Oryctolagus cuniculus: one gene and its partners. The protein of the gene in region 1 interacts with the protein of each later gene in a pairwise test. Links are inferred from orthologs where the notes say so. Each region holds a gene or a part of one and is shown in the gene's direction. Other genes may lie near its edges.

Evidence for each region.
Region 2: the proteins of VPS52 (region 1) and TXLNA interact in binary tests that used the Homo sapiens proteins (3 or more experiments, as listed by UniProt). The two-hybrid records come from large-scale screens. The link is inferred for Oryctolagus cuniculus from reciprocal best matches to the Homo sapiens genes VPS52 and TXLNA.
Region 3: the proteins of VPS52 (region 1) and RAB4A interact in binary tests that used the Homo sapiens proteins (3 or more experiments, as listed by UniProt). The two-hybrid records come from large-scale screens. The link is inferred for Oryctolagus cuniculus from reciprocal best matches to the Homo sapiens genes VPS52 and RAB4A.
Region 4: the proteins of VPS52 (region 1) and USP2 interact in binary tests that used the Homo sapiens proteins (3 or more experiments, as listed by UniProt). The two-hybrid records come from large-scale screens. The link is inferred for Oryctolagus cuniculus from reciprocal best matches to the Homo sapiens genes VPS52 and USP2.
Region 5: the proteins of VPS52 (region 1) and DDX6 interact in binary tests that used the Homo sapiens proteins (3 or more experiments, as listed by UniProt). The two-hybrid records come from large-scale screens. The link is inferred for Oryctolagus cuniculus from reciprocal best matches to the Homo sapiens genes VPS52 and DDX6.
Region 6: the proteins of VPS52 (region 1) and TBC1D22B interact in binary tests that used the Homo sapiens proteins (3 or more experiments, as listed by UniProt). The link is inferred for Oryctolagus cuniculus from reciprocal best matches to the Homo sapiens genes VPS52 and TBC1D22B.
Region 7: the proteins of VPS52 (region 1) and TSTD2 interact in binary tests that used the Homo sapiens proteins (3 or more experiments, as listed by UniProt). The two-hybrid records come from large-scale screens. The link is inferred for Oryctolagus cuniculus from reciprocal best matches to the Homo sapiens genes VPS52 and TSTD2.

Annotation. Positions count from the first base shown.
Region 1 is NC_091436.1:135,856,866-135,860,365, forward strand, and holds part of VPS52 (vacuolar protein sorting-associated protein 52 homolog), read left to right. Parts: intron 1-587; coding exon 588-738; intron 739-964; coding exon 965-1,065; intron 1,066-1,171; coding exon 1,172-1,304; intron 1,305-1,430; coding exon 1,431-1,488; intron 1,489-1,872; coding exon 1,873-2,006; intron 2,007-2,457; coding exon 2,458-2,613; intron 2,614-3,038; coding exon 3,039-3,157; intron 3,158-3,403; coding exon 3,404-3,500. UniProt on the Homo sapiens protein: Acts as a component of the GARP complex that is involved in retrograde transport from early and late endosomes to the trans-Golgi network (TGN).
Region 2 is NC_091438.1:140,273,197-140,277,487, reverse strand, and holds the start of TXLNA (alpha-taxilin), read left to right. Parts: upstream 1-1,491; 5' UTR 1,492-1,659; exon of another isoform or gene 1,660-1,686; intron 1,687-1,801; exon of another isoform or gene 1,802-2,016; 5' UTR 2,017-2,206; coding exon 2,207-2,372; intron 2,373-2,864; coding exon 2,865-3,203; intron 3,204-4,291. UniProt on the Homo sapiens protein: May be involved in intracellular vesicle traffic and potentially in calcium-dependent exocytosis in neuroendocrine cells.
Region 3 is NC_091444.1:90,047,273-90,051,353, forward strand, and holds the start of RAB4A (ras-related protein Rab-4A), read left to right. Parts: upstream 1-1,281; 5' UTR 1,282-1,551; coding exon 1,552-1,582; intron 1,583-4,081. UniProt on the Homo sapiens protein: The small GTPases Rab are key regulators of intracellular membrane trafficking, from the formation of transport vesicles to their fusion with membranes.
Region 4 is NC_091432.1:110,963,372-110,966,783, forward strand, and holds the end of USP2 (ubiquitin carboxyl-terminal hydrolase 2), read left to right. Parts: intron 1-341; coding exon 342-420; intron 421-615; coding exon 616-723; intron 724-813; coding exon 814-934; intron 935-1,171; coding exon 1,172-1,259; 3' UTR 1,260-2,912; downstream 2,913-3,412. UniProt on the Homo sapiens protein: Hydrolase that deubiquitinates polyubiquitinated target proteins such as MDM2, MDM4 and CCND1. Isoform 1 and isoform 4 possess both ubiquitin-specific peptidase and isopeptidase activities.
Region 5 is NC_091432.1:111,456,391-111,460,534, forward strand, and holds the start of DDX6 (probable ATP-dependent RNA helicase DDX6), read left to right. Parts: upstream 1-1,344; 5' UTR 1,345-1,470; intron 1,471-2,042; exon of another isoform or gene 2,043-2,514; intron 2,515-2,533; exon of another isoform or gene 2,534-2,632; intron 2,633-2,710; exon of another isoform or gene 2,711-3,132; intron 3,133-4,144.
Region 6 is NC_091436.1:132,390,660-132,394,638, reverse strand, and holds the start of TBC1D22B (TBC1 domain family member 22B), read left to right. Parts: upstream 1-1,179; 5' UTR 1,180-1,258; coding exon 1,259-1,314; intron 1,315-3,979. UniProt on the Homo sapiens protein: May act as a GTPase-activating protein for Rab family protein(s).
Region 7 is NC_091432.1:201,428,560-201,432,496, reverse strand, and holds the start of TSTD2 (thiosulfate sulfurtransferase/rhodanese-like domain-containing protein 2), read left to right. Parts: upstream 1-1,137; 5' UTR 1,138-1,277; intron 1,278-3,937. Other genes in the region: NCBP1 (nuclear cap-binding protein subunit 1), read right to left, coding at 655-688.

The DNA of each region.
Region 1 (3,500 bases):
TCTCCTGGCTCCAGGTCATCTGGTGCCTTCCAAAAATTAGTGGGTGGGTTGACAACCATTTTCTTTCTTTTTGTTTTGTTTGATAGGCAGAAAGACAGAAGAGACAGAAATACAGACAGATCTATCTACTGGTTTATGTCCCAAGTGCCTGCAACAGCAGAGGCTGTTCCAGGCTGGAGCCACAAACTCCATGTGGGTCTCCCACATGGGTGTCGGGGACCCAAGTACTTGAGCCATCATCTGCTGCCTCCCAGGGTGTTCATTAGCAAGAAGTTAGACTTGGAAGTGGAACCAGGACTTGAACCCAGGCCCTCTGATACAGGATGTGGGCGTTCTGAGAGGCATCTTAGCTGTTGCATCAAATACCCGCTCTGTTGACAGCTGTTCTAACCTCGGTGTATGCTTCAGGTATCCCAGGTTAGGTACCTAGGAAGGGGATCTAGGACTAGAAGCTGTACGTACGTCCTGACTGAACAGTGCAGGGTAAGGAGGTAGAGGTGACAGGCTAGAGGTAAGGGCTGTGGTTCGGGTCGAGTTTAGGGATGTCGGTCTCGCTTCTAATCCAGCCCGCACCTGCCTGCTAACAGGGCGATTCTGGAGGCTCCAGTGACGGAGCCCAGGTTCCTAGAGCAGCTGCAGGAGTTGGATGCCAAGGCAGCCGCAGTCCGAGAGCAGGAGGCCAGGGGCACTGCAGCCTGTGCAGACGTCAGAGGCGTGCTTGACCGGCTCCGGGTCAAGGTAGGCGGAAGTGGGGGTGGAGACCCTGGAGACCCCTGGAGCTGGCCTTTCTAGAATCTTCCCTCTGGACTTCCCTGGCAGGTCTCATTGTAGCCTGTCTCCAGGAGCCTCACCCCTGCCTCCTCCTGGCAGGGCTCAGCCCTGTTCCCTGAGCTTCCCTGAAAATCTTAAGGAAAACTGGAGAGCTGCTCTCTACCCTTCCTCCTGCGCTTGCTCCCACATGTAGGCAGTGACGAAGATCCGAGAGTTCATCCTGCAGAAGATTTATTCCTTCAGAAAACCGATGACCAACTATCAGATCCCTCAGACGGCACTGCTGAAGTACAGGTCACCTTGCGAGGGAGGGGATGGTGCCCCAGGTGTTAGAACAGCGCACAGTGAGTGGCTTGTTTCTTGGCGGTCAGGAAGACTGACTTATCCTCGGCTCCTCCAGGTTCTTCTATCAGTTCCTGCTGGGTAACGAGCGAGCGACAGCGAAGGAGATCAGGGATGAATACGTGGAGACGCTGAGCAAGATCTACCTTTCTTACTACCGCTCTTACTTGGGGCGGCTCATGAAGGTGCAGGTGAGGCCAAGGACAGGCATTCCTGGGCCCGTGGAGCAGGGGACAACCCCGGGCAAGGAAGGAGTGGGATTTTCTGCTGTGCTGTAGGAAGAGACGGCCACCAGTTCTCTTTTCTCTTTTCCCTAGTATGAGGAAGTAGCTGAGAAGGATGACCTAATGGGCGTGGAAGATACAGCGAAGAAAGATATCCTGGAGCTGGGGACCCTCCAGCCAGGCCTTCAGGGTGGGGGACCCTAGTGCCACTCTCCAAGGGCCTGCTTCTTACCTCTCTCTGTCTCCAAGATCTACTTCTTGCCTTTTTCTGTCCCCAAAACTTGGGAGAATGCGGTGAAAGCTGTGGACCCTCTTCCCAGATAAAGGGACCCGCCATCTAGACACGGTTTGTCACGTGATCTCCTGGAGTATGGACTCCCTGGTGCCCATTCACAGATGTCAGGTGAAGTGGGGCCCTGTCATTAGAAAGAGCGATACGGAGGCTGTCGCTCTTTCTTGAGTGATAGTCCCGAGGTGCTAAGTCCCTGGGTCCAGTTGTGTTCTCATTGGTTCCCCTGACTCGGGCCGTTCCCACGATTCTTCTCGAAGCCGTCGCTCCGCAGCAGGAACACCATCTTCACCCTGGGGACCCGTGGCTCTGTCATCTCCCCCACTGAACTTGAGGCCCCCATCTTGGTGCCTCACACAGCCCAGCGGGGAGAGCAAAGGGTACGTGCGAAGAGGAAGAAGCTCTGTCGCTGTGGGACTCCGTGTGTGGGGCAGGAGGGAGAGATCGCTGGGCAGTTTCCCAGCTCGCAGGCTCCAGCATCAGTACCCTGAGCCCTGGGAGCGCCTTCTGCACTCACTGCAGCCTGCCGTGATGTGATGGGGTTGGCAACCACCGAAGGAAGGGCATGCCGAGGGGAGGGGAGGGGAGGGGGACTGGTGTTGCGGTAGGTGCAGGAGTGCAACCCTGGCTGGGGGATAGGCTCTTCCTCTCGGGGCCCTCATGCTCCCCAACTTTTTCAGTGCCTATTCAGGGTGCTCTTTTAGCCTGGACTGAGATGGGATGGGAAGGGTCTGCCGAGCTCTTGTTACCGGGGTTGCTGATTTGCCAGTCATATGCACGGAGGGGTCAGTGTGGGGGCCACCCCTTTGCCTCTCTTTACTCCTCCTCTAGTATCCATTCGAGGCCCTGTTCCGCAGCCAGCACTATGCCCTCCTGGACAATTCCTGCCGTGAATATCTTTTCATCTGTGAATTTTTTGTCGTGTCTGGCCCAGCTGCCCACGACCTATTCCACGCTGTCATGGGCCGTACACTCACCATGACCCTGGTAAGATCCTTGTGCTCAGTCCCAGTGCGCACCACAGCAGGGCCATAACTCCTGCAGTACTGCACTAGGACCTGCCTCCCCCATTCTAGAATGCCTGAGCCTCGAGCTCGCGGTGTGACTCCCCATGAAACCCTCAAAGCCTGAGGTCCACAGAGACTGCTCCTATTTCTGATCCACAAACCAGGCAGTAACTCCTGAAGACTGAGGGACCCCTAAACCTTGGCACTCCAGCTCAGCCCTGAGTTCCACTGGAATAGAGCCTGCTGGGCAGGGCTTGAGCAGCCAGTGCCCAGGGAAGGGGGGCATTTTCCTTCTAGATATCGTCCTTCCCTGCTACCTCATCCCCAAAGGAGCCCATGCACTTATCCGGAGGCACTGGGATGCCAGACTAACGCTCTTGCAATCTGCGTGTTCCCAAATCACAGAAACATCTGGAGTCCTATCTAGCTGACTGCTACGATGCCATTGCTGTTTTCCTCTGTATCCACATCGTTCTCCGATTCCGCAACATCGCAGCGAAGAGGGATGTTCCTGCCCTGGACAGGTCACTGAGTTCTGGTCCTTGATGCCCTGCAGGCCTTGCATTCTTGGTCTTAACGCGACTCTACCCTCATCCCGGGCCCCTGCTGACCTGACACCTTTGGCCCTTCCTCCCTGTCACCTGTTCAGAGGCCAGCTCACCCTTCACACACCCCTGCCCCTCGGTCAGCCGTCAGCCAGTAACCTCAGGTCGGCCGCCGCCGCTCCCCATTCCTTGCCAGCTGACCTCCGATTCTGATTGAGCCCACAGGTACTGGGAGCAGGTGCTCGCCCTTCTGTGGCCGCGGTTTGAGATGATCCTGGAGATGAACGTCCAGAGCGTCCGAAGCACTGACCCTCAGCGCCTG
Region 2 (4,291 bases), on another chromosome or scaffold:
TCGAGCATTTATCCAACGGTCATCGCAAAGCTCACTGACTTGGCAGCAAACAGTAAGTTCAGGACTCGGGACTAATCTGGTTAACACTAGGGAGCTGCAACAGTGGCAGAGCACTGGGAGGGTTTTGATGTGCTCTTTGAGATGGCTCTCAAGTTTGTTGTTTATTTTTGCCATAAGTGCACTTTGGAAGAAAAATAGCAAGCATCTGCAAAAACCTGAGAAACCCTGTGAATCATAAAAGTAGAGTTGGAGCAAAAAACCCAAGATTGGATGGAAGAGGCAAAAGCCAAACCACGTAGGCTCTTCAGATTCCAGGTGCAAAGAGTACTGGGTTTTATTCCAACGTCTATAAGCAGCGGTGATAAAGAATTGTGACCTCGGGGCTGGTGCCTGCAGTGCCGCCATCCCACATGGGCGCCAGTTCAAGACCTCCTAGCTGCTCCATTTCCAATCCAGCTCTCTGCTATGGCCTGGGAAGGCACTGGAGGATGGCCCAAGTCCTTGGCCCCCGCACCCAGTGGGAGACCTGGAAGAAGCTCCTAGCACCTGGCTCCTGGCTTCGGATCGGCGCAGCTCTGGCGGTTGCGGCCAATTGGGGAGTGACCCAGCGGATGGAAGACCTCTCTCTCTCTCTGCCTCTCCTCTCTGTGTAACTCTGCCTTTCAAATAAATAAATAAATCTTTTTAAAAAATTGTGATCCCACCTTTGGAGAAAAATCTGGCCTTTTCAGTTTTAGCCCTAGTACCACAAGGACTTTGTACAAAATGGGACGAAGAAGTTTCAGGAATGGGCCTGAGGTCAAACACCCCTGCAGGGACCCCTCTGCCCCTTCCTGCGGGACTGCCGAGCTTATTGGGGGGGGGGGGGGGTAACTACCTTTCACAAGTTACCCGGGCTCTTGGAGAACGCCTGCAATGGTGATTATTTCTTCTGAGTAAAAGGCAGGGTAGCGGAGTAGTCAGGTTCTGAACCACTGCTCGAACCCAGCATCTGTGACCGTGGGCGAGCTGTCTAACGCGAGCCTTACAGCCCTCTTCCGTTAAATGGGAATGACAAATAGTACTTATCTCCAGCAGCTAGGAGGCCAGGGCTTTTAAGAGACCAGGGAAGCACACGGGGTGTGCTCAGAGAACCGCTACGGTCACTGAAAGCCTGCGTCAGAATAAGGAAATCGAGGCAGGGAGAGAAAAGAACGTCCAGTCGCGTGGCACCTAGGGATGAAGTCGGACCTGGAACACAGGCCTGCCTCCCAGCCCAGGCCTCTCCGGAGTCCCCGGACTGACGGAGTGTGGACCGAGGCACGCGGGCGCAGTGAGGCTGGGCCGCACAGGGCTTCTGCACGACACCGGCGAGGTTGACGTGGAGGTTTGCTCAGAACCACCGGCTCCCCAGCCCTCCGGAGTCCGCGGCTCTGAGGACGAGAGCATCCTGGGAGTTGTGTCGACCGATGCATGGTGGGACGTGTAGTCCGCTCCTGTCCCCGCCCTCCCGATGCACCCGCCTTGGAGGCCGCCTTCGCTCCCGGCTCCCGGCAAGCTCCGCGCCAGCGCCGGCTACTAATTGGCTGTGGCTCGGACAGGCGGCTCTGCCGGCAGCGGTTACCCAGGGTTTCCGGTGCGAGGCCAGCGCTGGGGACGCGGTCGCACGTCGCCCGTGAGGTGAGCCCAGCGGCGGGACGACGGACGGTGAGGGCCTGCAGACCTGGACACTTTCGGCCAGCGGGGAAATTGCTCCGATTTCTGCGCGTGGGCGGCGGCGGGGGTGGGGGGAGTCGGGGTGACGCTGTGCGCATGCGCGCGACTGGAGGGCGCGCGGGGCGTGGGTGGCTGCGTGCGCGCGGGCGCGGGAGCCCACGTGGGACCTGGGGCGCGGGGGGAGGGGTCGGAGTCGAGCGTCCCGCCACGTCAGTCTGCGGCCGGGAGCCAATCCCGCGCCGGGCCTGCCGTGAGGGGCCGTGTGGGGCCGGGAAGTGGCTTCGGGGGGAACAAGGAGGCCTCTCTCCTCACCCGCTCCAGGAGCAGCGCCCCGGAAACCCGCCGGGGTGCGCCAGGCCCCCTGACCGGCCGGACAGCGGGAGAACCGTTGGCTCCCTCCGTTGAAGGTGCGCCTGGGCTGTGATTTCTGATCCAGGCTGCGAAGAATTCTGTGGAAAATAGCAACTGTGTTTCTCAAGGATCCAATCCCAACCTAAGGTGGCAGCGCACAATGAAGAATCAAGACAAAAAGAACGGGGCTGCCAAACAGCCCAACCCCAAAAGCAGCCCGGGACAGCCGGAAGCAGGAGCGGAGGGAGCCCAGGGGCGGCCCGGCCGGCCGGCCCCCGCCCGAGAAGCCGAAGGTGCCAGCAGCCAGGCTCCCGGGAGGCCGGAGGGTGTGTGCCAGCTCTGCGTTTCCAGCCGCCTGGGGGAGGAGTTCGCGGCCCGGCCCAGGGAGGAGGCAGCGGGGATGTGGAGCATCCCAGGCTCTGGGGAGGGGAGGCCCTTGCAGGCTTCTCGCAGGTGGCCGGCACCTGAGGCCTCAGCCAGTGACGCCGGGTTCCATCCGAAGGACCTCGGTCACCAGTGTGGGTCACTGCCCTTGGTTCGTTGTCGAGGCATTTCTGGAGCTGCTTGCATAGCAAGCGGGGGCTTTTAGAGGGAGGGGAATGGACGAAACATTGAGTTGCCTGCCTCCTGCGACATGGCAGTCCCAGGTGCCGTACGTACTTATTTTATGCTTGAACAAACTGTATTGGGGAGGTTGCGAGAATTAAGTAAGCTGGGGCAACCTTAAACCTGAACCAGTGAGGCTGGCTGGGCTCACGATCCCAGGTGGTGGTCTAACCTTGCCGTCTGTCGCTGCCTCTCGTCCTCTCCTGCCCTAGGGGCTCAAGCCAAAACTGCTCAGCCTGGGGCGCTCTGTGATGTCTCTGAGGAGCTGAGCCGCCAGTTGGAAGACATACTCAGTACATACTGTGTGGACAACAACCAGGGGGCCCCGGGTGAGGATGGGGTCCAGGGTGAGCCCCCTGAACCTGAAGATGCAGAGAAGTCTCGCGCCTATGTGGCAAGGAATGGGGAGCCGGAGCCGGGCACCCCAGTAGTCAATGGCGAGAAGGAGACCTCCAAGGCAGAGCCGGGCACGGAAGAGATCCGGACGAGCGATGAGGTCGGAGACCGAGACCACCGGAGGCCACAGGAAAAGAAGAAGGCCAAGGGTCTGGGTGAGCAGAGGGCAGCTGCGGGGGGCTGTGGGGAGGGCTTTGCACCTGACATTCCTTGGGCTGTGCAGCAGGGAGTCTCCCTGGTTGATTCAAAGCGCAGGGTATTCCAGCCACAGGCCGGAGTCGTTCAGGTTGGGAGCAAGTGAAATGGAGCCTGATCCTCATGGACAAAGCGGAGAGGTTTGGATGGGCTCTGTACCTGCCCACACCGCTTCGTCCCTGCTGTGTGACCTTGGGCATGTCCTTTCCCCGCCCTGGGCAATAGTTTCCAGTTCTCTACAAGGAGAGGATTGGGCTAGGCCAAAGTTGCAAACGCAAACGTCTGTGTAAGCCAGGACCGAGGGAGGGCCTGCTTTCTGCCCAGGGTGGACTGCAGCCTTGTTCCTTGAGTGCTCTGCACTGTGCCTGCTGCCAGCTCGTCAGTTGAGAGCGTGTTGAACCTCAGACTGGGTGCAGCTGGAATTTTATTTTCTGTTAAGAAAAGCCAGAAATCAAGAGTCTGGTGAAATCTGTAGATTTCAGTAGTAGAAACCAAACAAAACCCATGCATGAGCCGGGTTTGGCCTGTGTGCCAGTGATTGGCATCTCTGTGCTGGTGTCTTCGGGCCTCCGCAGGCTGAGCAGCCTGGAGCCTGGTCAGCAGCCCCTGGGGAAAGGCCCCCCACTGGGCACAGGCAGTGGGGAAGTGGCAGAGACGGTTTTTTGACAGCAGAGTTCGTGTCTGTTAAGAATCTGGGTTAGATGACATTGGACTTGTGTCCTAGTCCCTGTCTCGCCGCCCTTCCCCCGCCCCCAGCACTTGTCACCCTAATTGAAAGAGGAACTTTTTTAAAGAATCATGGGAACACACATTGAAGGTCTCTTCATTATAAGGTTCCCTGTTTGGATGCCTCGTACACAGGGCTATAGATTTCTCACGGAGGCCAGGAGACCTTTTCGGATCCTGCTTCTCTGGGAAGGCCCCACTTTGCATTGAAACAGTAGCCCTGAATTTGCAGGTGGGATACCTTTTATCTGCTGGGAGGCAGACAAGCTTTTCTCCCACCAGTGGTGCCCCCCCCCCCCCGAAGGAATTCCAAGAGGTTTTG
Region 3 (4,081 bases), on another chromosome or scaffold:
TGCCACGGAACTGGGGTCGAACCTCCAGCCCGTTCCCGCGCCCGTCGGAGGACGTCTGGAGCACCTGGCGCCTCATGGCTGAGTAGGAAAGAAATCGCTTCATTTCTGAAGCGGACGGCGGCTTTCCGCCACCTCCGGAGCCCAAAATCCGAGAAAACGAGCCGTCTGGCCACCACGTCCCCGCAAGGCAGGTCCGCGGTCTCCAACTCCTCAGCTCCGGATGACGGTCGCCGAGCAACCGCCGCCATGCGCCAGTGGGCGGGGCCGCCGCGCACGCGCAGAACCTCCCACCTCCCCCGCCCAGCTGCAACCAGACTTGGGTGGGTCTTTGCTAAGGAAAAACATCAATCATTTGAAAAGCAGTGTTTATACTCAGCTGGAGATAGAGTGGCTTGAAACTGCAGAATTCTGAAGGCCTACAACGCCTCTGAAAATGTCTAAAAAAAAAATGTTTCAGCTCCTTATCTTTCAGTTTATTTCCCTTCCACATCACCTTTGTTCCACTTGTTATATATTAATGTTAGCCGTCGCAAAGCACACCGGACACCGGAGTAAGGGAAAGGGTTTACTGGAGAACACCCTACAGACCGGAGTGAAGGGGCTGCGAAGGAAAAAGAGAGAAAGAGAATATAAGAGAGAAACAGAGAGGAGAGGAGCTAGCAAGGAGAGAAGATAGAGCAGAGCCAAGAGAGAAGAACCAAGAGCCAAGAGACCAGAGGAGGAGGCTAGAGAGAGGAACCGAGAGAGAGCAAGAGAGAAGGGCCAAGAGAGCAGGGAGCAGAGCCCAAGAGAGCACGTGTTCAGGAACAGGCCCTTTTAAAACTTTGCCTGAGGGCGGGCAGGGAAGCAGGAGCAGCGAATCCCATTAGGATGGGGGTGGAGCCTGGCTCAGGTAGCTGGGCCATGTGGCCACCTGGCTAAAACTGTGCCAGTTTCCTAACACTATCAAAGTAGGCAGGTTCCATACGAAGCGGTAGCTTCTGACTCCAGATTCCTGCTAATGTGCCCCCCCCCGGGGGGGGGTAGTGGAGATGGCTCCAGTTACTGAGTTCCTGCCACCCACATGGAGACCCGAATTGGGATCCTGGCTCCCCTCTTGGCCTCAGCTCAGCCACCGCCCTTGTGGACATCGGGGGAGTGAACCAGTGGATGGAAGCTGTGCGTATTGGCGCGCGCCCTGTGCGCCCGCGCGCGCCTGTGCGCCTCGCCCGGCCTCCCCATGCGCACGCGCGGCCGCGGGAGGGGGGGCCTGGCTCCTCCTTCTCCTCCTCCTCCTGCTCCTCCTCCTCCAGCTCCAGGCCCGGGCCGGAGGAGGGCCGAGGGCCGAGGGCCGTGCGCCTGCGCGGAGCCGGAGTCCTATAGGGCCGCGGCGGTGCGGGTGGGCGGTTGCCTTGGGGACCGGTCCGGCCCCTCCCTCCTCGGGTTCCCCACCCACCCCGCTCCACGCCCCTCGCCGTCTGGACGCGCGGCACACAGACCTCCCGGCCCTCCCTTCCCGCCGCTCACCCCAGCTGCAGCCGTGACCCGGCCAGAGGCCGTGCCGCTCCCAAGATGTCGCAGACGGCCATGTCCGAAACCTACGGTAGGAGGCCCGGGGGACGAGCGGGCTCGGGTCTCTGCGGCGTGGGGACCCGAACCTGCGCTCGGGGAGAGGTCTCGGGGGGCGTCGGGGGCTCGGGCCCGGGATCTGCGGGGAGCGCGAGCGTTGGGGCCGCGGGCGGGGGGCTCGGGGGTCTCTGGGTGGGAACGCGAGGCTGTGAACGGCCTGTTTACGTGATCTGCTTTTCCAAGTTTCCTCCGCGCTGGTACCCTGAGTGTTTTTCCTCTCTGGGTAGCTTGAGATTCGCCTGCGGCTGTGACGTTAGCCCCTGCGAAGGGGGCGACTTCTGGATTTCAGCGAGCTCCTCGGGATGTTCCAGTTTTGACCTTTTCGGATTTGGATTTACTGTCTTTGCCGTGGGATTAAAGGAGGAGTTAGCAATAGATTAATCTATCTCTTCCTCCCAGATAACTCTTGCTTTATTTATAGCCTCTCTAGGTTGCATTTGGCTAGTTACAAGGGGGCTCGTCTATTCTTTTAAGATCGTAAACGCCTTGGAATCGGCGCCTTGTTAAAAAAAAAAAAATTTTTTTTTCTGTCCTGCATAGTCAGGATCAACAACTTGTACCTTTTATTAGTGTTGAGTAAATGTTTATCAACCCGGACTCTTTCAAATGTGTACAGTCTCAGATTAAGACTTTGATTTGGAGTTTTACAGCCCCAGGGAGAGGCTCAAATTCAAAAGAAAATGTATCCCTCAAGCCAGATCCGCCTGTCACCATCTGTCCTGGCCTGCCGCTCCTTCCCGGCAACAGATAACGTGTGCAGGGCATTAGGGGAGCAGGCGTCAGGCTTGGAAGGCTGTGAGCTCCTGGAGACACAGCAGAGGCGGCTCTGGCCGGGTGGAGTTTGCCTTCTTGGCGGGGAGTCCCGTGTGAATCCGGTTGGGGTGCTGCTGAGTGAGTCCAGGCCAGGCAGGAGCCCTGAAGAAATGTGCCTGTTTGTTAGGATGAGAGCTGGCCCGCACTGGGCAGTCAGACGGTCACCTGGCAGGTGCCCAGACCTGTGGAAAAGGCATTTCAAGCAGGGCGAGGAGAGAGGGCCTGGTGGGAGGTTTCCAGCTCCCTCCTAAGACAGGTGGTAAGCTTGCAAAGGTTTCTGCTCCAAGGTCGAGGTGCAGTGGGGCCGCTTTAGCGATTCTTGTGACTGGCACTGCCCTGTTCTTGGTGACACTGTAGCATGGCCGCTGTTCTTAGAAGGCCTCGGAAATCTTCCAGGAAACCTGCTGGGTTTGTCAAGACCAGCGTTGCCAGAGCTGCCGGGTCTCCTGTGAGGGGTGGCCATGCGCTGCTCTTCTTCCCATGGAGAACTGCAGTCAGAAATGGCTTTAAAACATTATCTCTCTGCTTATTTGAAAAGGCAGAATTACAGAGGGAGAGGGAGAAATCCTCCATCCGCTGGTTCAGCTCCCCAAATGGCCACAACACCCAGTGCCGGGCCATGCTGAAGCCAGGAGCCAGGAGTTTCATCTGGGTCTCCCATGTGGGTGCAGGGGCCCAAGCACTTGAGCCACCTCCCGCTTTTTTCTAGATACATTAGCAGAGAGCTGGAAGTGGAGCAGCCGGGTCTCGAACCGCCACCCAAATGGGATGCTTGTGCAGGCAGCAAGGCAGCCCCCCAAAAGTATCCTACGGAAAATGTGTTCCAAGCAATTTGTGGTTGTATCTTTGCAGTTGTTTATATGCAAGTGCTTATTTGTCCACCCCTCCCCCATTTTTTTTTTCTTTGACCTGGGTAAGCAGCACTAGATAAGGCTGAAAAGTCTTAATGAGGGAACCATGGGGAGGTTGTGAATTACTAAGAAAGCATGGGAAGACCTTGCTTTCATTTTCCTTGTGTGAAGTGGTAACAGCTGATAGAATACAGCCCACCTTTGCTTGCCCTGCCTCACTCTGCACAGGGATCTTGGAAGTTGCAAGCCTCACCCAGGAACTGGTTAAAATCCTGATGCTCAGGCTTCGGCCATTAATGTTCTTATTTCATGCACTTTCAAAAAAACAAGCTTTCACTATTTACTAATTGTGAATTTAGTATTTTCTAAATGAGACATAAAGAGCCAGTGCCGTGAATGCACTGTTAGTGTGCGGGAGCCACCTGCTCATGAGCACGTTAGAGCAGTGTTCCACTTCCCATAGACCTGAGTCGGGTCCAGCCCTGTGTTGTTGGGAAGCCACTAACCACAGGAGTACAATGCTGTAGTGTATGTCATACTGTAATGCACAGTTGAAATGCTAAACAGATGTCAGCGTGGACCCTTCAGTCTGAGTGTCACTAACCTGGAACAAGGTACTCCCACATGTGTTTAGATTCAAGCGATCCAAAAGTGCTGGCCCGTTAGTGTTGCCCGGGACTCCCCCATGGAACCCCTCTGAGACCCAGGAGGCCACAGTTTGGCGGTGCGTGATTCCTGGTGCCAAGAACTGATGCTAGTGCTGAACTGTAAATGTGGAGGGGAAATGCCAGGCTTCTTTTTTAAAAATT
Region 4 (3,412 bases), on another chromosome or scaffold:
AGAAGAGGGAGAGACACATCTTCCATCAGCTGGTTCACTGCCCAAATGCCCACAGCAGCCAGGGCTGGGGCCAGGCCAAAGCTAGGAGCCAGGAACTCCATCTGGGTCTCCCACATGGGTGGCAAGGGCCCAGGTACTTGAGCCACCACCTCCTGCCTTCCCAGGCACATTGGTAGGGAGTTGGATGGGAAGTGGAGCAGCCAGAACGAGAACCCGTGTTCCAATATGGGATGCTGGTCGCAGGCCGTGGCTTGACGCCCTGCGCCACAGTGCCAGCCCTGGGTTTGGGCTGTTGACTCCTCCCACAGGTTCCTTCCAGCGTGGTCTGTCTTGTCTTTCAGACATGCTGTCGCTGCCGGGCCAGAAAACGGTGTATAAAGAAGTTCTCCATCCAGAGGTTCCCAAAGATCTTGGTGCTCCGTATCCTTAGATGCATCAGGGTGGGGCTTGACCCTGGCGGGAGACGAGTGACTCCGGGCCAGTGCGCAGGGCGGAGAGCAGGGAGAAGCCAGGCCGTCTGCTCCCCGCAGAGGGGGCCGTTGCCCATTTCGCACCTGCTCTGCTTTCTGGGCCGTCCTCGCTTGGCTGTCTGCCCTTGACTCGAGGCAACACCAGATCTGAAGCGGTTCTCAGAATCCAGGATACGAACCAGCAAGCTCACAACATTTGTGAACTTCCCACTGAGAGACCTGGACTTGCGAGAATTTGCCTCAGAAAACACCAGTGAGTAACTCAGAGCACAGGAGGCCGGGAGGGGGCTGGGTGGGGCCGAGGAACGGCCCTGGGGCTTGACACCCTGCGTGTCCTCCTCAGACCACGCTGTTTACAACCTGTACGCTGTGTCCAATCACTCCGGAACCACCATGGGCGGCCATTACACCGCCTACTGCCGGAGTCCCGCGACGGGCGAGTGGCACACTTTCAACGACTCCAGGTGAGAGCGGTCCCGTGTGGGCGGGGCTCCCAGCTCCGGCACCCACACCTCGCTTATCGGCTTGGCCTCCACTTTGAGTGGACCCAAAACTTCTGAGCCCAGAAGCTCTGGAGCAGCCCTGAGTCCGGTGCCTGGGAGCAGGGGAGAGAGGCTGGAGGGGGTGCCTCGCACGCCCCCAGCCCCTCGGCTCTGGGCCTCCCCTGCCGGGCCCCTGACAGAGCCTTGCTCTCTCTGCAGTGTCACAGCCATGTCCTCCAGCCAAGTGCGCACCAGCGACGCCTATCTGCTCTTCTACGAGTTGGCCAGTCCACCTTCCCGTATGTAGCAGCGGGGAGCTGCGTCCCTCTCCCTTCCCTGTGGCGGCCCACACCCTAAGTTTTTTAAAAAGACAAAAAAAAAAACAAAACAAAACAAAAGCAAACAACAAAAAAACAAACTTGACAAATAAGAGAAAAAAACTACAATAAACTGCCGAACAGGAGTCGACGCAGCCTGGCCGGGGTCTGGAGCAAGGAGCCGGGTGCTCCTGAGCCGTGGCCCGGCGGGGAAGATGGACTGGACACAGCGCTCCCTCGGCTTCTCTTGTTTGTATTTTTTAAGCTTGTGGTTTTTGTCCTGTGTGTGATAAGCAACGCCCTGTGTGGGGAGAAGATCGCTGGCCACCTGCTGCCCTCTCCAGCCCCCGCGCCTCTGAGAAGACAGCGCCCTCTGGAGCCCGCTGGGAGCATTGCTGCCTGGAACGGACAAGCCCTGCGCCCCTCTCGGCCCGGACCTGCGCACTGGTCCAGAGCAGAAAACACCCGTGAATGAGCCAAGAGCCCTCTTAACGCTGCTAACTCCAGGGGGACAGACGAGGAAACGTCTTTCAGAAAAGCAGTTTTTAGTTTTTTTAAAGTCCAGCTTTTTTTTTAATGACCCTAACTGATGTTTCAGCCTGGAGATGTCTCCTTTACACCTGCCCCACTGGGGTGCTGTACTGGCCCGCCTTTTTTTTTTTTTTTTTTTTTTTTTTAATTCTTAAAGTACAACTTCTCTAATACTAGCCCCCGTGGTGCTAGGTTGGTGTTGGCCAGGCCCCAAGCATAGCCACGGTAGACTTGGGATCTAAACAAGTTTTGGTCATTGTTGTTGGTTTTTTTCTTTTTTCTCTCTTTTTTTTTTAATGTTCTGGATGGAATGTAGTTGCCTCCAAGAATTGTGCCTTATAGCATTTGGGGACCAGGAGATGACCGCCCCTCCCTGAGAGCTCCCTCCTCCTCTTCATCCTCCCCAGCGCCACGCTTAGACCCGCCCGTGCAGAGGGGTCGTGCCCTCTGCCCCTGACGTTGCTGTGCATTGCGGGGTGACAAGGAGGAAGCGGGTGGAGGGAGGTTTCCTGTGATAGTGCATCAAGGTTTTCCTGCCCACACCCTCCGGCCCAGCCCGCGTCTACTCCCCAGCTCTTTGGAGGATAGCACAAACCCCTGTCCCTTAAGCTGCTCTCGCCTTTTAATTTATTCTCAGTGATGTCCATGCCCCTCCCTCCCGCCTCCTGCACCCGCCCTTCTCAGAGCCTCCTAGACAGAGGCCCTATGGACGAGTTTCTCAGGGACGCCCACGCTGCCCCTTAGCTCCTCTGCCTGGGGGCTGGAGCCTGGCTGACTGGGATTCTTCCCCCGGGGGCTTGATGTTGCCCTGCGGTCCTGGGTGGAACTCTGTGCTGTCCCAGAGAACAAAGCGGTTCCGCACCGAGTGTAGAGGTCCGAGCGCCTGGCACAGGCCCGCTGCTGGGCCCAGCCTGTGTCCCTTGCTGCCGGGGGCATCCCAGGAGGAGGCACCTGAGAAAGACGCCCTGAGTTTAACTGGCCTGACCCTCTCCAGGGAAGACCTGGGAACCTGAGCCCGAGGGCTGGTGTACCTTGTTTACTATGTAAGCAAGAGCAGAATGTCTCTGTACAGTGGAACCTTGTACAGAATAAATGATAGCTTTGAGAAATAAGGTGAATATGACAGAAGCTTGATTCGGGAGGGGTTTAAACCCAGGAAGGGCTCCTGGCATATTAATGGCCACATATGAGGGCGGTTCAAAAAACCTGTGGGAAAATGGAACTGCAAGAAATTTAGGGACAGGCGCTTGGCCTGGCAGTTAAGGCCCATTTAGGACACTCGCGCCCCACATCTGAGTACCTGGGTCTGAGTGCCAGCTCTGGCTCCTGATTGTGTTGCAGGACGATAAAGACGACCTCGTTTCTTGTCTTACGTCGAAGAATTTCTTTGTGGACAGGGACAGTGAGCAAAGCAAAATCTATTCAAAGAAATGAGCTGCAGCAGTCAGGAGAGGAACTCCAAGAGAGGAGTGGCCACTGCTGGTTCTTTTATACAGAGAGTGACTCTCTGATTGGCCCCTTTCTGATAAGTGAGTAGAGCTTTAGCCACTCAGAGGATGGGCACAATACAACCAATCCGGGAACAGAATGTGTGCTGATGGGACATGCCACA
Region 5 (4,144 bases), on another chromosome or scaffold:
CACATCCTCCAGAAACCGTATTTGCTACAGAGTACTCACAATTATTCCACTCCATGTTAACTAAAAGACCAAAGGATTTGATTTATATTACATTCTTCTTAAAAAATAATTTTTCAAACCAACAAATTATCATAATTTAAGAGTCCAGTGTGACATTTTCAATACATATGTACATATGTACAACATGTAATGATCAGGCATACCTATCACCTCAGACTCACATACTTTTCTTGTGCTAGGAACATTCAAAATCCTCTTCAAATTCTGTTTCTAGCATACCATCTCCCAGATTTTAAAATACCTCGTCACACAGAAGGGGGGAACTCTGTTCCTCGTGTTCACCCTAGAGAGAAAGCAGCTAGGTGGCTATTTTGAAATATTCAATTAATTCTTGCCAATCAGAGTTATCCTGCCCAACTGCACCCCTGGACCCATTAGCTATCCTCTCTCCAACCCCCTAAAAATACATTTTATAAATGATAGTCTGTGCAGCCCCAAATAATCTTTTTTCCTAAAGTGTCATATTTCACAATTCTTGCTAATCTGTTTGAAAACAGCAAGGACAAAATGGTTTGAAATGGTTTGACCTATCAACCACTAAAGCTGAATCTAGAATAAAAGATCCAGGGTTCCTAGCTTAATTTTAAACCATCTACGTATCCCATCAGAAAACTGAAAAGGGCCAACAATGTGAGAGTATTTACCCATCTTAAAAGATCATTATACAGAATTTCGAAAGGTTTTCGCCTCAGAAGGACTCCTAGGTGAGATGGGTGGTCATTTCATATTGCCCATTTTTGTCGTGACCTCATCCAGGCTACAGTTTATTTGTGGACCCTTTCCTTGAGCAGTGTGGGGGAAGGGACCTGGTGTAAATCCTGAAGCCCCTTTCCCAACCCTTCACACACCTGATACGTGGGAAGAGAGTGAGGCAAAGAGGATCTCACACGGTATCACCCAGCCGTCTTCTCTACAGGATGGAATAGGGTGCAGGGTTTCTCTCTTCACGACTAGGTGTTTTAAAATCTGGGTGGGAGATGGCATGCTCTAAACCTAGAATTTAAAAAAAAAATAAGGGGACTTTTTTTTTAACGTCAAGGGTAGTCTTTTCACTGCTCTCGACAGCCTTTCCAGACCGCCAAACGAGACCAGGCTTTGCGTTCAGAGCGTGCCGTAGGATCCGCAGCCACGACCCCTCGGAGTGGTGGGGACCAGGCAGGCGGGGGAGTAGGAAAGCTTCATGGTGAAAAACGGGGAAGGCGTCAGGTCGGCCGCGATTGGCGCGTGCTGGCACCGGGAAGCGGGAGGAGGGCGAGCGAGAAGCAGGGCCTCGGACGTGATTGGTTGCGGCGGCATATTTGGCTTTCTCTGATTGGCTCCGAGTTGGGGACAGCGGCACAGCGGCAAAAAAACATGGAAGCTGCCAGTCAGTGAGCAAGTGCTGACCGTTCTGGGCTCGCTGCTGCGGAGGTGGGTCGGAGTCCTATTGTCACATACGCTTTGGCCATTGTCCGTTTGTATATTCCGCTTCCCAGCCGGGTGCGACCTAGGATTTTACTTTCCCTCGGCCTAGCCAAATTTTTTTTTTCTTACTTGAGACACCACAGCATTTCTGTTATTCTGTTGGGGATAAACGGAGACGCTAGGGTCTGAGAAGTAATCATGAGGAGAAATGCCTAAAAATCTTTACAAGTGAGGGGCGGGCGGGAGAAAAAACTCTCCGCCTGCGGGCGCCCAGATCTTTACCGACTGCCCGGCTTCCACCGAGACGACTCAGTGCTGTTCCCCTCTGGGGGGAGGCTCGGCCCCTCCCTGGAGGATCTCGGCAGTAGAGGGGGGTCGCGCCGCCCAGCCCTGCGCCCTAACGGCGGGGTCGCCTCCCAGACCCCGCGTGCTCTCCGCAGCTCCCCCTCCCAGGCGCACGGTCTCCGCCCGGCGCGGTCCCTACACCCCCCCTGCCCGCCCTCCGCGCGCCCCGGGGCCCTCCCCACCGCGGGTCCCAGGCCGCCCCCCTCCCGCCCCCGGGCGCGCGTCGGCGGGCGCGTGGGGGCCTCTGGTTCCGCGCGCTCCCGGGCGGAGACGCGGCGCGAGGGGCTCGGACGCGGCCCCCGGCCCGCGGGGGTGCCAGGTCAGCCTCCCGCCTCCGGCCCGGCAGTGCTGGGGACCGGTCTTGGGGCAGTAACAAGCAGATCCGCCTCTGGTCACAACCCCGGGTTTTCACGCAGGAGGCGTGAAGGCCGGCGACTCTCCTCAGCCACCATTCCCCGAGCATCTCTCCTCGGCCTTCCTGTCCCCTCAGACAGCAGCCGGGCTTCCCCCTGCAGCTTTCCACCCGTCGGTGTGAGAGAACGGCCCGCTTTTTTTTTTTTTTTCCTTCCCCCCTCCTCAGGGAGCTTCTCCGGCCGGGCTTCCCCTCGCCGTCAAGAAGGGAAGAAGGGAAGCCAGGCGGCCGCGACAGCCGAGCTCTCGCCATCTTGAGTGGAGGAGGAGCCGCGGCCGCCGCCATGCGGAGAGGCAGGGAAAGAGGGAGGGAGGGAGGCGGCGGCGGGCGGGCGAGGGAGGGGGCAGACAGCCGAGTTAGCTCAGCTCGGCGGCGACTTCGGCGGCGCCGAGAGAGCGGGCAGCGGCGGAGGTAGGCTGGGCGGCCCGGCAGCCGGCGGCGCGGGCTGCCGGCGGCGCGGCCCCGGGAGTGCGGCGGGGGCGGGGGCGGGGGCGGCCACAGCGAGGGGCCGGGTGGGGGCGGGCGGAGGTTTCCGAGGAGGAAGGAGCCGCCGCCATTTTGGGAGCTTCGAGTCAACAATAAAGGACCGAGGGTGCCGAGCGGGAGTGGCCTCGGTGGTAGGACTCGGGCCAGAGCCGCGGGGCGCGGGGGTGAGGCGGCGGGGTCGAGGTCGGCGGTGCCGTGGGGGCTTCAGGGAGCCCCTCGGGCCGGCGAGGGGTTCGCTCCGGGCGGAGGCCCAAGGCCTGGCCGGGCCTGGGGGAGGAAGGGCGGGCGGCAGCTGTGTGGGGTGGGGGCGCCTCAGAGGAGTCGAATATGGGAATGCAGTGCGCGGCGGGGTCAGGAGGAGGAGCGGGCCGAGTGCTCCGAGGAGTTTTGTGGAAGACGAGGGGCTGTGGGGACCCGAGGGGGCGGTAAGGGCTGGGGGGGAGATGATGTTGGAGGTTATGGGGTACGAGGCAGCCCTACAGGGGGCGGCACGGATCTGCCGTGTTGGAGGGCTCCGGCTGGAGGAGGACCGGCTGCTGCCTGATTGCAGTAGGCCTTGTAGGTCGATAAACAGAGGGTGTTGGTGGAGCCCCCGGGTCGCGGAGGGAAGGAGGGGCGTCCTAGGTTGTAGGGGTCTCTTCGGGCCCTTTATTGGAGCAGTCCCTATTGTTTGCTGCCGCGGAGCTGAGTTTTGGCCCTTGTTGCGCAGATAGGATTGCGGGGACCCAACCGTTTTGTTTTTGTGGTCTGAAGGAGCTGACTCGAAGTGTGAGACTGGGGGGAGGCAGGGGAAGAAATGAGTGCCATACAGTTGCGGGGCTCCCGACACTGGCTTGACTCCTTTTCCGCGATCCCCCGCTCCCTCTCTTCGGAATAAAACCCAGTCACTCCAACTTGCAGCCAGAGCTTGGAGAAACTGCGCTGCATTTGCAAACAAAAGCTCTCGTTGGAGATGACGGTACTGTTTTGGGTGTGAAACTGTCAATTGCTAACTACGATCTGGGAAGTGCTGTAATTAATTCCACCAGGGGCTCCTCCCAGATAGTCTACGTTTTGTCTTTTTTTTTTTTTTTTTTTCTTAACGTAGAACTATAACCTGCACATCTAAATTGGGAAGGGGTAGGAGGAATATTTCCTCTCTGAGACATAAAGCTGCAGTGCAGGTTTCAGTTTAAGAGGGGAGCAGTTAGCACATAGTCTTATTTTGGATTTAGGGAGATGCGCGGTGATGGGCAGTAATGAAGATACGGTTTCGTTTTTAAGAGATTGCCTTGTTCATCCTCCTAATGTTTTGCAAACAAATAAGTCTCCCTATATGAACTATGTGATACGGTTGATCATAATCTAAAGCTGTCAATACGGGAAAGGTTCATAACCTCCTCTAAGTGCTCTGATTCAGGAAGACTTTAAAAATAAACAGCTCTGTGTATGTGAGAA
Region 6 (3,979 bases), about 3.5 Mb from region 1:
CACCTTGTAAAGCAGTGGAAGATGGCCCAAGTGCTTGGGTTCCTGTACCCGCACGGGAGACCAGGAAGAAGCTCCTGGCTCCTGCCTTCAGATCAGCCCAGCTCCGACCATTTTGGCCATTTGGGAAGTGACACCCAGTGGATGGAAGATATCAAGATCTCTCTCTCTTCTCTCTGTAACTCTGCCTTTCAAATAAATAAACAAATCTTAAAAAAAAAAAAAGCACAAAGCGCAGACAAAACATTTCAAAGAGTTTAAAATGCTAATATTAAATTTCATTCTGAGACAAAATTAGATTGAGAACAAATTCAAGGGTGAAAGATTTACAATAGATTAAGAAGGGAAATTAAGGATAAGTGTGTGGGGGTACACCCGCATCTTGGTGATTCACATCATGGAGATACACGATATGCTCTAAAGAAATGGGGTACTTGGTCATGTGGATTGGATGGACGCAACCACATTCCCTAAACACGTCTGTCAGTCAGTATCTAGGCTTTCACTGTCAGAAAGTGAGAGTTACGGATTAAAACAGGATTCGATCCTTGGCGTTTCATTCACAGCACAAATCCTTTAAAAGTATTCAGTCAACAGAGGAGGGAGACTCCTGAACCCACTGTCACATGTTGAACAGTTAGGGAGCGTGGGTTAACTGAGTCCTTCATAGGGAGAAAAAAAAAAAAAAAAACTCCGGACCTAAACGGAACCGGAACGAGGAAGGGGTGGCTATCACCGAAGTGTCACTGAGTTGGGTGTCGTTAAAAATGGGTCACAACCAACAAGGTCAAAGATTTATGTTTATAAATACACACTATGGCCCTCCTTACAAATAATAGCAGACTCCGGGATCTCATTTCCCCAGAAGAAAACAGCCCCCGTGCCTCCTTCCCGTGGGTCGCTTTCTTTACCTGCTTCTTCCCTCTCGTGGGTAGGAACTTTCTGCCCCGCCTCCCGGCTCGCTCAAGCTCCGCCTTCCCGGCCCACCTGGGTGCCCAGCCCCTGACGTTACCGTTCGGCTTCAGCATCCTACAGGATTCCGGCTCCCGATTGGCCCGTCTGTTCACGGCTGGCGCAGCCCACCAATGGCAGCTGCGCTGGGTGGGCGGGTGCCCACATCCAAGATGGCGCCCCCAGGAGCTGGGAGCGGGTGACCGGCGACGGGGAAGCGGCCTGGGTTGGCCCTCAGATTGCGGGGTCTCGGGGGCGTCTCGTCGGGCACCCCCTGACCCACCTACAAGGCCTTCCCCGGGCCAGAGCAATGGCCGCCGAGAACAGCAAGCAGTTTTGGAAGAGGAGCGCCAAGCTGCCGGGGAGGTGAGCCCAGGACGCTGAGAGGGAGCCGGGATTGGACCAAACCCTTCCAAATCCTAATCCCTAAATCTTGCGACTGATGTGGGGACCCCAGGACCGAGCAGTCAGGGCTGCCTGGTAGCGGCAGGGCGGCTGTCAGGCAGAGGAGCGGGGACGGCTGGGTGTGAGGTACAGACCGGGGTCTGAGGGCGGAGGTCTCAGGAGAGGTGACCTCAGCTGGGGGGTGGCCGACGACCGGGCACAGGGGGCAGAGGAGTTGAGGGAGAACCCCGTGTCGCCCCCGGGGCTTGGGGGGCCATTCCCAGAGCCACTTCCCACTTTGAAGAGAACTCCTCGGGGGTCTCCAGCATGCACAGGTGGTTGCTTACTCGAGGGTGGCCCCTTCCTTGGCTCCCCCAGCTCCTCAGGTGCAAATCTTCTCCCAAAGGGTTCTGGTGGGAGCTTGGGGCCGCCTGCGAGGAAAGGGGTCGGGGCGGGGGGTGGGGGTCCAGGAAAAGTGAGAGCAGTTCTGCAGCCTGACCCCACTTTATCTTGAGTTGACCCTTTCCCGTCAAGGATTTCTTACAGGGAGACCACAGAGTCGGTGTTTTTCTCTAGCATTTTCTAGGGATTTGTCCAACTCCAAGTGACCTCTTCCCCCCACCCCCTGCATTGTAATGGTCTTCTTGTGCACACACACTGAATTCTTTCATTCTTCAGTGGTTTCGTGGAGGGCAGACCTTCTAAGCGATTTTTTTTTTTTTCCATTTTGGCATGTGTTGAGACTTTTTAGCAGTTGTCCATCCCCCAATCTGCCGTTAGTTGACAGTTTGGGTTGTTTTGGGCTGAGTCCTTAGAAGTCTAAGGAGGAAAGTGTGTTTCAATTGTGAATTTAAGATTTCTGCCAGCCACAGTCCAGTTGGTGATGAAATTCACGTTTGGCTGTGCCCTCCCCTGCCACCTTTCCTAATTGATTCAGTTCTTTTCTTTCTGGGATAATTGGTAATTCTTTGAACTTATGACTGAGTATTTTCCTCTAAAGCAAAGAGAAATGAACAGTCCGTAGTGTCTTGGCAGTCTTACCTTATTTAGGATCCTATTAAACATATGGGAAATGGAGTGGGGATCAGCTTTTAGTAATACATATTAATAGAAGGCAATGCAAAGACAGCCTCAGATTAACATGGAAATTACACTGGAATGACTGTTAATATCGTGTTAAAGATGTTGTGTGTCTTTAGATAAGCATCGCTTCCTGCCACCTGATTTCTTTTCCTTCCTGATCTAGTGAACTCTCCAGTTATGCTAAATGCTGTTCTCTGGGGTTTTCCATCATGAGATCATTAAATTTTGATGTCCTAAGGTTATAATGAGACTCAGCAGGAAAACTGTTCCAACAGGAAGCAGTGCAGGAGATGAGGGACATGGCATGGTCCTTTGTGCCTTCTGACACTGGTTGCTGTTCACTGGCTTCTGTTTAATACTGAAACAGTCAACTTTTCTAAAGCACTATGTGAGATAGGAAGAGGAGTCTTTTTTTTTTTTTTTAAAGAAAGATTTTATTCATTTATTTATTTGAGAGGTAGAGTTACAGACCGAAAGAGGGAGAGACAGAGAGAGAGGTCTTCCATCCACTGGTTCACTCCCCAAATGGCCGCAACAACTTGGAGCTGAGCTGATCTGAAGCCAGGAGCCTGGAGCTTCTTCCAGGTCTGCCACGTGGGCGCAGGGGCCCAAGCACTTGGGCTCTGGGAGAGGAGTCTTCATTTCTTCAAGTGTCTGACTCTTCCATTTTGAAGAATACAGAAGGGAAGAGGAGAGAACCTTAGGGTTTAAAAAGCCTTGGCTCATTATTTGAACTCTCTTACCTGTGTGTCAAAGACAAATGATTGACATCCAGGCCTCTGTTTCCTTATCTGTGAAATGAGAAATAAAAATACTTCCCTCAGGGTTCCTGGGATTACTAATAAAATACCCTATTTGTAAAGAACCTAGGACCGTTTATTTAACACATTATAGTTGCTCAGTATTGCTGTTTCTAGAGCAAGTAATTGTTGAAAAGAATATTGCTCAGATCCCTTACCCCAGCCCTAGTTCAAGTCTTCATTCTTTGTTCTAACCATAAAATACTGGCACAATTCATACTAGCTTTTAGTACTTTGATTGTTGAAGAGAAATATGGTTCAGCTGTGTGCCTTTATCTGCGAGGCCCCAGGAGCTCCTGATTATGGGAGAAAACTACCCAGGCATCTTGTAGATGGAAAGGTGCCTTGATGAAAGGAAAATGTTAGAGCATTTTCTCAATATAACTTTTTTTTTTTAAGATTTATGTATTTATTTGAAAGTCAGAGTTACACATAGAGAGAAGGAGAGGCAGAGAGAGAGAGAGGTTCTCCATCCTCTGGTTCCCTCCCTCAGTTGGCCACAACTGCCGGAGCTGCACTATCTTAAGCCAGGAGCTTCTTCCAGGTCTCCCACTTGGGTGCAGGGGCCCAAAAACGTGGGCCATCTTCTACTGCCTTCCCAGGCCACAACAGAGAGCTGGATTGCAAGTGGAGCAGTCGGGACTTGAACCAACGTCCATATGGGATGCCAGCACTGCAGACAGCGGCTTTACCTGCCACAACATAGTGCCGGCCCCCAATATATCTTTTGACTCTTCACTTGATCTTAGCCAAAAAGCCAAGAA
Region 7 (3,937 bases), on another chromosome or scaffold:
GTGTGTGTTCCGGACGGACCGTCACGCTCGCGTCTAACCCACACATCTTTTCCTGTTGGCAGTAGCAAGACCATTTCGTTTGCATGATGGCAACAGCGTGGTCTCCCTGAGCACAAGCCGTCGGGAAAGGACGCGGGCACCCGGGCCTGAGAGCTCTCCAGCTAGGACTCTAATCGTCTACCCAACGCAGCACCACGTGTCCCTGTGGGTGTGCGGGAGCCCGAGTTCTTTTCCTACCCCTTCACAGGGAGGGCGGACGGGGCAGGGGGTGCGGAACGCAATTCACAACACGCCTTTGTTCCTTTCCTTGCGCCAAGTCCTCCGAGAGCTCAGCCCAGGCGCAGCTTTGCGGGCTGAAGCCAAACCCCAGGACCCCTGGGGCTCTGTCAAGGATCCCTGCAGGCGGCGCAGGTCTAAACTTTTTACAGCCCCTGGAGAGCAGACGCCTCTGCCCACGGGGATCGCCCGGGCTCCCTTCCTCACGACAAAGGGAACGGGGAGCAAGGGCGGAAGGGGCGCGTTCGCTTTCCAGAAGCCGGCCGGCTGCCCCGCGCGGCGCCTCCCTCCTTGGCTCCCCCAAACGCTGCCGGGGAAGGCGGGATTCCCGTCCCTCCCCTCGAGACCCGGGACGCTAAACCTCGCGGGCGCACTCACCGTCGTTCTCGTCGCTGTGCCGCCGCCGCGACATGCCGCCGGCCAGTGAGCCCTGAGCCGAGACGCCGGGCGGGAAGCGCCGCACGAACCGTCGGGCCGCCGGCCGGCGCGAGAACAGCGGCGAGGCGCGCGGACCGGCCGGCGCGCAGGCGCACTCGCTCTAGACGGCTCCCGGAAGCGCACGGAGGCGAGGCCGCCGGGTGGACCCCGCGGAGCCGGCGTCCAGAGCCTCTCGGGCGTTTGGTTGGCGCGCAACCGCCCCCTCGAGCCTCCTCCGCCTGCCAGGTGCTTCCTTCTCCCGCCTTCCGCTTTGGGTCCTTCCGGGCCAAGCAGAAAAAGCCGCCGCGTCAGCCAGCCAGAGCCCGGCGGCCGCGGGCCAGACTCGGAGGCGTGGTGGTTGAAGGAGGCCGCTCTAGCAGCCACCCGCGGGAGGCCTCTCAGTGGTTTTCCCGGCGGCCCTTGCGCTCACGGCCGCGAAGACTTCCGGAGCGGGGTGACGTCCCGAGAGGCCTTTCCTACGCACCACGCGGCGGGGTCTGTAGGGTCGAGGGCGGTGCGTGGTGACCTTTGCCCGGCGGAGGCACCGGGTGGAGAAGGAGCTAAGAAAGGAGCAGGACCGGCGGGTACGTGCTCCGCTCCCTCTCCCTGCCACTGCCCGGCTTTTGTGGCCTCGGGGAAGGTGGGCGGGAGGAGGGGCCGGGCGGCGTGCGAGGCGGTGCCGCACGAGCGGGGCCCGGGGACGGGAGGGCGGGCCCTGACGCGGGCCTGCGGGGCTCTGTGTGCGCCGGCCGTCCTCTTACCTCTCCCCTCTGTGAGTTGTCTGAGGAGGAGCGGATGAGGGCCCTGTGGTCGCGCTCTCGATGGTTATTGGATACATCTTTACGTGCACACTGTACGAACGTCTCTGCTGCCTTGGCCGTGGCCATCTGAGATTTCACCCCCCCGGGCTTCACCGGTTCCGCCCTCAGCCTGTAAATGGCACCGTCCGGGGAGCGTGCCAGCTCTACTTTGAAAGAGAATCCAGAATCAGACCTTGTGACGCCTTTGTTTAAACTCCAGTGACTTTCCATTGCAAACCTTCTGTCGTGGTTTGTACAGTTCTGCCCTCATCCACTGTTCTAACTGCTCCTTCCAGTAAATCAAGCCCTTTAACATTTTAGAATCTGTTTCCTCTCCCTGGAAGTCTCCGCTCCTCAGTCTGCAGTTCGGGCTCCTCTGGGCTGAGGTCCCAGCTCAGGCATCAGGTCCTTTGTGCGACCTCCCCTCGTTACCTAACTGCTGTTTTATTTTGTTCTAGAAGTATTGGTAAACATCTAATACCTTCTCTGTGCCAGACACTGAATTAAAAAAAAAAAAAAGATTTATTTACTGAGATCGGTACTGTGGCATAGTGGGTAAAGCTGCCGCCTGCAGTGCTGGCATCCCACATGGACGCCAGTTGGAGTCCCGGTTGCTCCTCTTCCAATCCAGCTCCCTGCTAATGGCCTGGGAACGCAGCACAGGATGGCTCAAGTGCTTAGGCCCCTGCACTCATGTGGGAGACCCGGAAGAAGCTCCTGACCCCTGGCTCCAGCCTGGCCCAACCCTGGCCATTGTGGCCATTTGGGGGAGTGAATCAGAGGATGGAAGATATCTCTCTCTCTCTCTCTCTGACTCTGCCTTTCAAATAAATAAATCTTTAAAAATAAATAAAAGTAAGAGTTTTGTTTTGCACAGCTGCATTAGAAATTGCAGTTAGCCAAATTGTTGACTGTGTGAATTTGTAGTTCAGGAGAGGGGCTGGGGTTGTAGATAAAATGTGGCGTATGTATTATTCTACACATACATGTTCCTTTATTTCTGTTCATTTCCCCTTTTTTCAATGAAGTTTCAAGTGCTCACAGAAACAGGGAAAATTACGTAATGAGCCCCATGCCCTCATCCCTGGCTCCAGTAATTGCCAACTATGGTTAATCTGGTTTCAGCTGTATTACTTGCCTTCCGCCGTTATTTTGAAGCAAATATAGTTTCTTAAGACCTTGCTTATGGGATGAGACCACCTAGGGAGTGGGTGTGGATAGAGCAGTTCAGCATGTAGAGACAGGACGATGAGGATGCAGCAAAGGGAGGAGAGGCGGTGGCTCTCATCGCTGTCTCATGCTAAGTTTGCTAGCTTAGTTAGTGTCTTCTGCTACTGGAATACAGGAGTTCCACAAGAACAGGGGCTTGGACGTTTCATTCAGAGCTGCATTGCCCATACCTTTTTGGGTGCCATTCTCAGAGCAGACACTCGCCAAAGAAATAGTTCAGGATACATAAAGAATAAAGTATCGTGAGGCCAAAGGCAGGTTTAGAGCGAGGGGCGAGGTTTTGGGGTGGTGGGAAAGGCATGTGTAAAGAACATGGCTTGTTTGTGGAACTGGACGCAATGTGGTGTGGCGAGGGTAGAGTGCACGCTGGGACACTTCGACCTGAGTCTAGGCTGACAGGAACCCAGTGTTTCAGGTCTTCAGAAGGGAGAGTGGCAGCAGCATGGCAGAGAAGACTTGGTGGAAGAGGTGACAGTGGTGGGCATGGTGAGCCTTTGGGGAGGGGAGGGGGTGGAAGAAAGTGGGTAACAAAGCAGCAAAGAGAGAAGCTTTGGCCAGTGTTCTGGGGAGGCGGCTTGGGCATGAGGCGTGACTGCAGGAAGAGGAGCCCTATGTGCAGCCACTCCTCCGGCTGTGCTCCCTCCCAGTGTACTGCCTCTGAAGGCACACTGTGCCTCGAGCAGTGCCTGGCACGTGGAAGGCCCCCACTCGGTCACTGTGGGATGGATTTTAATTGGAAGGTGATGTAAGCATTTTCTCTACAGTAAAACAGCTGCGGGCACAGGAGGGTGTGGGTCTGTTTTCCTTGTGCCTGTAAGGCCTGGAGCCTCAGAGTTAGAGACCTGCTCCTTTCGTTTGAACTTTGAATGAAATACATTTAAGAGGCTGGCACCATGGCTCACTTGGCTAATTCTCCTTCTGTGGCGCCGGCATCCTGGGTTCTAGTCCCGGTTGGGGCTCTGGATTCTGTCCCAGCTGCTCCTCTTCCAGGCCAGCTCTCTGCTGTGGCCCGGGAAGTCAGTGGAGGATGGCCCAAGTGCTTGGGCCCTGCACCCACATGGGAGACTGGGAGGGAGCACCTGGCTCCTGGCTTCGGATCAGCACAGTGCCGGCCGTAGCAGCCATTTAGGGGGTGAACCAATGGAAGGAAGACCTTTCTCTCTGTCTCTCTTTCTAACTCTGCCTGTCAAAAAAAAAAAAAGACATTTAAGAAA